Oreochromis niloticus: one gene and its partner. The protein of the gene in region 2 interacts with the protein of the main gene of each other region in a pairwise test. Links are inferred from orthologs where the notes say so. Each region holds a gene or a part of one and is shown on either strand. Other genes may lie near its edges. The genes, in order: rasa1a and dlc1.

The links.
Region 1: the proteins of dlc1 (region 2) and rasa1a interact in binary tests that used the Homo sapiens proteins (3 or more experiments, as listed by UniProt). The link is inferred for Oreochromis niloticus from reciprocal best matches to the Homo sapiens genes DLC1 and RASA1.

The regions. Positions count from the first base shown.
Region 1 is NC_031977.2:16,144,624-16,148,544, forward strand, and holds the start of rasa1a (ras GTPase-activating protein 1), read right to left. Parts: upstream 2,789-3,921; 5' UTR 2,084-2,788; coding exon 1,548-2,083; intron 1-1,547. UniProt on the Homo sapiens protein: Inhibitory regulator of the Ras-cyclic AMP pathway. Stimulates the GTPase of normal but not oncogenic Ras p21; this stimulation may be further increased in the presence of NCK1.
Region 2 is NC_031971.2:21,092,378-21,096,298, reverse strand, and holds the start of dlc1 (rho GTPase-activating protein 7), read right to left. Parts: upstream 2,596-3,921; 5' UTR 2,162-2,595; intron 1,232-2,161; 5' UTR 1,168-1,231; coding exon 1-1,167. UniProt on the Homo sapiens protein: Functions as a GTPase-activating protein for the small GTPases RHOA, RHOB, RHOC and CDC42, terminating their downstream signaling.

The DNA of each region.
Region 1 (3,921 bases), on a different chromosome or scaffold from region 2:
CCCACAATTAGTCAGATGCTTTCTAAAGTACAGTGCTTAGGCGGAATTTACTGTGCTACAGACAAGAAAAGAAAAAAGGTTTGCAAATGCTTTGTTTTAAGTTTTAGTTCACTTCAATCACAGGCAAAATATTTAGACACGATGACCATTCTCTCAGAGCATTGTAAATTGGTTGTAAGTAGACAGTTGTGCAGCAAAGCAGAAACAAGATTTTCTACTTCCCATGTAGCATTACAGAGAACTATGCACTTTTCTGTTATCTACTATTTATAGTAAAGTGTATAGCTTTGTGTCAAATGCACAGGCATTGATTTTAATGTATCTGGGCCAATAGTGCCAAGGGTTCTTGCCAGCCTAAAACTTAAGCCTAAAACAAGAAAAACGCTATGTTTAATCAAAGAAAAAAAGTTGCTTTGGAAGTATTTGTGCATCCCCTGAGTTCAAATTGTCACAATTGTCACCAACGGCACCTGGAATGAAGTTGGTCTCCATACAATTGTTGATTTAGGTTTTTGATACAACAGAAAAAGAAAGAGAGGCTAAGGAGCTTGGATTAAAAAGCAACTGGAGTTCTTTAAGTTTCTTAAAGACATTTCACCTCTTATCTGAGAAGTGTCTTCAATTCTGAAAGAACTATTCAAAGAAAGTGTCTCGATATGTATATACTGACTTTATCCAAACTTAATGATTTCTCATCTTCTTCCAAAAACATAAAAACTACAAAAAAATGGAACAGTGCCCAGAGTTAATCACACTACATAGAGGCTGAATGTTAAGCTGAAAGATTACATGGAACAGGAAACGAAAAACCTACCGAGTTCACTTGAAAGAAATCTAAAAACAACAACAAAGCTCAAATAAGCCTGGACAACTGCTGCAGTGGACAATTTTGAATGTTCTTAATCGCTCAGTTTCACTGCATCACAAAGAAGTTCTTTGTATACCATGACTTCTCTGCAGAATGGGCAAAGCTGAAGGACCAACAACAGCATGAACGTGAACAAAAGCGCCCGCACTACCAGTTGTCCCACATGTTTTTGACAGCAATTTTGTTACTGTTACACTGTATTACTCAGTGTTGATTACTGTGTTTACTGTGTATATACATAATACTTGTTCTGCTTGGGTGATCCTGTGAAATGAGGCTATGCTGACAACAGCTGTCCAAGTCAATTATTGATATGTAGTAGTCCATTGTGAGAATGTTTATAAGGGCATTTACTATAAGTGAATCAGCTCTCTGTAAAAATAATGAACAGGCATTACTACTGTGTTGCTAGGGTTTCTATTTCATATTGAATCTCCTGTCAATTCAATTTGATCTCAGTTATTTCAGTGCTTTCTAGAATAACAGGTGTGCAAACGCACAACAGATGTATTTTAGGTAATGTATCTTGGGAAACTGGCATTATTTCAAAGCCACATCTACCAAATATACCTCAAGTGCAAAACAGGAAGGCTATGAAAACGCAATACAATAAATAAATTGCTTAAGTGTTTCTATTTTCTAGCAGTCATAGACGTCACTTAACTTGTGGTTTACTTACTGGTTAGTGGGAGGTGCAGAGAGTGGGAACGTCACCTCTTCTTCGTCGATTTCCATCCCATCTTGCATGTCGCTTTCATCCATAGTGCCACCGAGCCCCCCACAGCTAGGAGGCGGAGGAGGTGGTGGTGGAAGTGGTGGGAAGACAGTGGGCCCATCCGGGCCTGTTGATGTGGGTGAGATCCGACTAGCTGGACCCTCCATAGTTGGAGAGCAGCACATGCCGCCCACTGTCCCTGAGCTTGTTCCTTGAAAAACTGAATATCCACCTCCTGCTACGCCACTCCCTGCTCCGGTCATATCCCCACTAGGCATGGAGGAATAGATCATATTAATCTCTGAAAGGGAGTCCGGAGATGTGTTTGAATGCTGTCGGGTGGCTGGTGCCGGCACTTGCCCCAAATCAGTGGTTCGGACTCTGCTCGGCTTGGGATAGTATGGGAAAGGGGCCGCCGTCTCCGGGCCTCCTCCGCCTGCCACCCCTGTCCCTGTCGCGACCGAGCCCGTATCCTCACTGCTGACCTCCGCTGCCATCATAGTAGAAAAATACGTAGAGGGGAGAAAGTCCAGAAGGGAACCTGCCCTTCCCCTCTGTTTTCACAATAATCCCTCGGTGTTTGGGCTCCTGGGAAACAACACCAAAAGTTTCTCAAAAACGCGTTCAGGTAGCCGGCTAATGTTAGCCAACAGCTAACTTAGCTTACTTGGCTGCACTAGCGGGCGTTAGCTTCGCCTCGCATTCGCTCCCTGCAAAAATCACCGAGCTAACGCTAGCGGGACAGCTAGCAGCTTCGAGACACTTGATGAGTTCTTGCTCGCTATGTCTTCATTGTTTCCTGAGTTTAGAGTTCACGCAGAAACACTACTTGAGATTAACCGTTACAATACTTCCAACAGAATATCACTTCACCTATATTTCCTGTTGGTATTTTTGAGACTGGGGGGATGTTCGGACTTCACCCTCGGCACCAAAGCAGACCACTTGTCGATGAGTGTTGTTTTATTGTCACTGTTGTGTGTAATCCCCTTCTTTTTTCCCAGTGTTGTTTTCTTCAGTTTTAAACCGTCTCCAGTAGCGTTCCCAGACGACTTCAGCCTTATCGCCTATATCCCCGGAGCGGCATGTTGTTCTCCGCGTACTGCCATGTCGTTTACCAACATTTATTATCTGCGTACAAGCTTTATTTCTGGGTTTCGGGGCTGGTGGCTTGCCCGCTGCTGCGCTGCTCTTGTCTCCCCTCCCTCTCCAGTGTTGCCAACTCCTCAGTAAGGAAAATCGCTATTGGCTGTCCTAAAAGTCGCTAGAAGTCGCTAAATGACGTCATCACCTAATTTGCATAATTGGTCACGCTAATATAATTGTAACCTATGTTGTTGGAGAGAGAAATAACACCATGGAAGAGACATAAAGTGAGTAAAAAACGTCTTAAATGCATTTAGAGTTTATTTAGAACTACAAATTAAATTTCTTTTAGCAATTATTGTTTTTTTAATGTCACAATTCCAACCCTGCTCCTTTACCCGGGCTTGGACTGGCAAAAGTGACCCGAAATTGGCACTCTGGTGGAGTTACTTTGTGTGTGTGTGTTTATAAGTAGTTTTAAACCTTGTGATCCACAAAACAGCATAAGAGTAAAAGATTAAAAGAAGAACTGACTGTGTTACAGCACCCGCTGCTTGTTGAGAGTAAAAGCGATAAGCGCTTTCACGTCTTTTTTTAGCGACTTTTTATAGAAAAAAAGTCGCTAGGGGGTCTGAAAACTCGCTAAATATAGCGACAAAGTCGCTAAGTTGGCAACACTGTCCCTCTCCCACTCCTCTCCAGTTAAAGATCAGACACAGCTAAGTGAACACAGAGCGGAACTTTTTTTCCCCCAAATTTAATCCATGGCATCTTCAATCACGTTAAATCTTATTAAGTTGAATAAAATGTGATATTGTCCTTGTTACGTAAATAAAATATAGAATCTCATAATGGTTTGTTTTTTCTTACCAGAGGGGTCAGAGGGTCTCAGTGGCCGCAGAAAACAAGACAAGTAGCAGAGTAAAATCAGTCCTCTAGATATTTTTCTGCAAATAATCTCTTGCTGAACTACTATACTGTGGCAGGAAATGTTTACACCTTTGATCTGCTGTTTTTTAACACGTCAGCAACACTGAACAAGTTTCACTAGTTATCAGATAAGCGGCTCTGTACAATAAACAGAAAAGAGTAATTAAAAAAACACTTAATGGCAGGATTTATTTACAGCTCCCATTTTAATCTACAACTGCAAAAAGATTTGTTTTTTTTTTTATTGTACCTCTTATTCTTGCTTCCATACAAGAACACAGTGATTCAAAATCTCACGTGATGTTATCAGTTAAACCTGAGC
Region 2 (3,921 bases):
GCTGCTTTCTGCTTGTGCATTTTTCTCTCCCTGGGGCCTGCTCTCCGCTAACATTTCAACATTGTGCTGCTCCAACAATGTCTGGTTGGATATTTCCCAACCATGATCCTTATCCAATGGTCCAGCACAGTCTTCATGGCCCCGCTCTTCTCCTATAGTGACTCTTGAGAGACAGCTCAGTCCTGTATTTTCATTTAGAGTTTCTAGGTCACTCAATCCATCTTGCTTGTCAGCAGAACATGCACTCCGGCTCTCAGATATTCCTTTGCCACATTCTCCATCTGCTACTAATGATTCCACAGTTTTGTTGATTAGCGACAGTGCTTCACCACCCTCCATATTTGCTGAGCTTTGCAGAGCATTCATACCAGGCTGGTCAGAGGTGACAGTGTTGCTGTCCTCAACATCTGGGAGGTCGGTTTGAGGTTCCTGTTCGCCGGCAGAGCACCAGTTTACTGTGACCCCACTGATTTCAGGAGGTCTGCTGTAACCCTCTGTATGGCTCTCCTTTGTATCCTGATGGTTTGGAACTTTGCCAGGTTGCTCACCAGCACATTCGGACAATGGAGGCACATTGTTGGGAGAGATAGAGACGTATTGTTGGTGAGAGATATGTGCACTTTTTAAGACACTGACATCGCACATGCTGTGATTCTGGCAACTTTCTGTCCCCAAATCACTTTTATTATCAGTCTTATCACTGCTACGAGTTGCACAAGAAATATTTGCACTAGACATACCACTGTTTGAATTACAAAACTCTCCAAAATTCCCAGGGTTTGTGGTTTGGAGATCCTGTGAGTCAGAGTCAGTTTTTGGGAGTATGCCAGCACCCACCAACTCATAAGACCGATCCACTGACTCCTGCAAATCCTTTCCATTGTTTTCCATTAGTTTTAAGTGTTCCAGTTCAGTATCGTCATTCATCGCAGAAGCTCCCCCTTCACAAGTCTGAGCAAGGTCATCTATAGGCAGCTGGTGGCATCCCTCTGGCATAGAGGAACACCTCGCCCGTCTACCTTGTTTCGAACCCGCAGAACCCATCCATAGCCCATCGCCTTCGACCCCATGACAGCAGACGAGATCCAGATCATCGTAGCTGTACTGTAATCCTGATGGGTGAGTCACATGCTCCTCCCAGCTTCTTTTACGTATGGCTACCGGCATAATGGGCAGCCAGTGCTATCCCATAAAGCTGCTTTTGATGCCAGGTTAAATAGAAGGACCAGATCTGGTACAACAACAGGAGAAAAGGAGATAAGAAAGAGGCAGTGTTGCAAAGTTTTCACTTTGCAGGAGCTGAACGTACAAATAACGCTTCAACTTTCAAGTAAGCAACCAAAGTGTATTAATTTAACCCAGGAAACCAATTTCTTTTGAAGCAGAGTTTTTCCATATTTCAGCTTGGCAACTACAAGTAAACTACTCTGATCTCTAACAATTGTTTAATTTTTTAAGACTGAGAAAGCTTAAATCGTTGAGATTAATGTAGACATCCCTCCGATTGTTTATCTTATCACAAACAGGAAACTGTAAACAAAGCCGTTTGTCAGATTTGCACCATTTTAACAGTGAAAAAAAACTTTCTGAAAAAGTGCTGGGTGTTGGTTAACAGTCTTTCTGCACCCATTCACCTTCAAAAATAAGAGACTGAAGTAGATTGAAGTAAAACTGGAACAGAATCCAACACTATCACAGAACCAAGTGCAGGTCTTATCACAGAATTCAAACTAACATGTACTGCATTACACTGCTCTGTGTTTTTTCTTCCTTTTGTGGCTGATTTCAATGTATAGATGTGAAGAAATAGTGTAAATCATGCAAGATTTACACTACTCCATAAATCTGCTATGTGTCGAGACAGACAAATAAAAGCTTTTGATTAAAGAGAACCATTCTGTACTACGTAAATAACACAATTCAAAACAACATAGAATAGCCGTCTTAAGTAGTCTGTGACAAAGAATCAGACTTTGTTAAGTGTATTGAAAGTATTTTAAAAATGGAAGACCTGCTTGAAGAGTTTCTTTTCCCAAAATTTCATTTTAAGACATAAGGATGATGGTTCTAACTGCCATTTGCACCCTTTGGCACAAACATGTACCTGATTTGGTTATATGTAAAGTAAGGGAAAGGTCCAAAAAGCAGTCGCTCCTCTTACTTGCACTCCAACGAACAGCTGACAGCCGAACTCCACATTCTACAGTGGAGGAACACTGATGTTTACTTCTCATAAATACTCCAGTGATGACACATTGTTTAGCAACATAATCTAAAAGCTTTTGTGGAAATCCAGAAGTGGAATATGTAATCCAACCCGAAGATTGCAGATCAATTAGTTCCTGAAATGCAGTTTGTCAAGAGATGTTTCTCAAGCTGACTTTTCATTCATCCATCAAATGAAATCTGTCCACGTTTGGGAAATTTAAATTCACTCTTTCCAAGCAAGAAGTCCTTACTTTAAGCTTCTACGAGCCATTTTCTAGACTCGAGTCAGTATCTTCGCTGTAAAACTGTTGGACAGGCACTGAAGCCCCCAGAGGAAGGCAGAAAGCCGGGAAGCAGTGAAAAGTCCATGGACAACTTCCATCTTGATCACATTATGGTTTTTGCTGACGCTGAACGCTCAAGAGTCGAGGTGGTGTAAGAGGGCTGGGTTTTCTTTTCCCCCGGCCCTCCCTTCTCTCCTCCGCTCTATCCTTTTTTCTCATCAGGTCCCCTCCCCGCTGGTTTTGACAGTGAGTCTGAGTCACATCTTAGAAGCCCCATCCCCCGTCTCACAACTCTCTAAGCACACCATACACTCCACCCTCCTCTACTGTACACTCGCTACTCGCTATTTCAGAAATATTGCTTCTCTTTTCAGGAGACATTTTCTTCATTCTTCTTTAGCTCCCTATTTCACCAAGCTGGGCAGGAGGAGTTGGCTTTGATTAGTAACAGACAGGCTGCTTCGTAAGACTTCGGGCTGCGAGCCAACTGAGATTGCTCTAATGTTTTGGCAGTTATATCTGCAGCAAATTTGTCATCTTGTAACTACAAGTACTCTTAGATAAAAATACTGGCACTCATGAAAAAAATACAAGGCAAGATATCTTTATAGTTAATCTGGTTGGGGGAGGTGTTTAAAAATACACTAAAATGGTAAATCATATTTCAGCATTTATAATAATGGAGACGGCTTTAAAAGTGCTATGAACCTGACAATTTTCTTTTCAAGGAGATTAAGTGGGAAGAAAAAAAATTATTTAGGACCAAAATACCAGCAATTCATTTCCTAATATAGTAATTTCTCTGTGAAACACTTTGCAGAAAGGAAGGGCAAAGCTGGCAATGACTGCGCTTTATATCACAAAGACCAACTGACATAATTTGTTTTTAAACCCATAGTGGAAGTAGGTGCTGAATATTTCATTTGGAAAGCCTGGACCAATTGAAAACCTCAAAATGTAAGTAATCTCCTAATTTCACTAAAAATCCAGCCATGATCAGATTTATAATGAGTGTTTTTGTGTTGGGGTTTTTTTCTGGGCGGGGGGCGTAGTTGGGTCAGCTGCATACCAACAGGGACAGTCCAAGCACAAGAGAAAACTGGAATGAAGCCCCTTCCAACTATCTCTCTAACCCCAGCCTCTAACCTCTGGGTCATCCAGATGTGAGTCGAAGCTTTGGATGAGTCTTTTCTTAGGGGCTGCACTGGGAAACTGTGCACTACCATAAATGTTGACTCTCCGGGGACACAGATGGTCGAACTCAAGGGCAAGCCATCCAAGTACAACAAGACTCTGCTGTTGCATGTCACATGATGCACTCTGCACACCAAGTGCCATGTAATGAAATGCAGATTTTTTTCGGTCACAGAAGCTTCTATGTGGATACGGTTGGTGATTGAAGTGCAGAGCCTGACACAGAGCATGACTC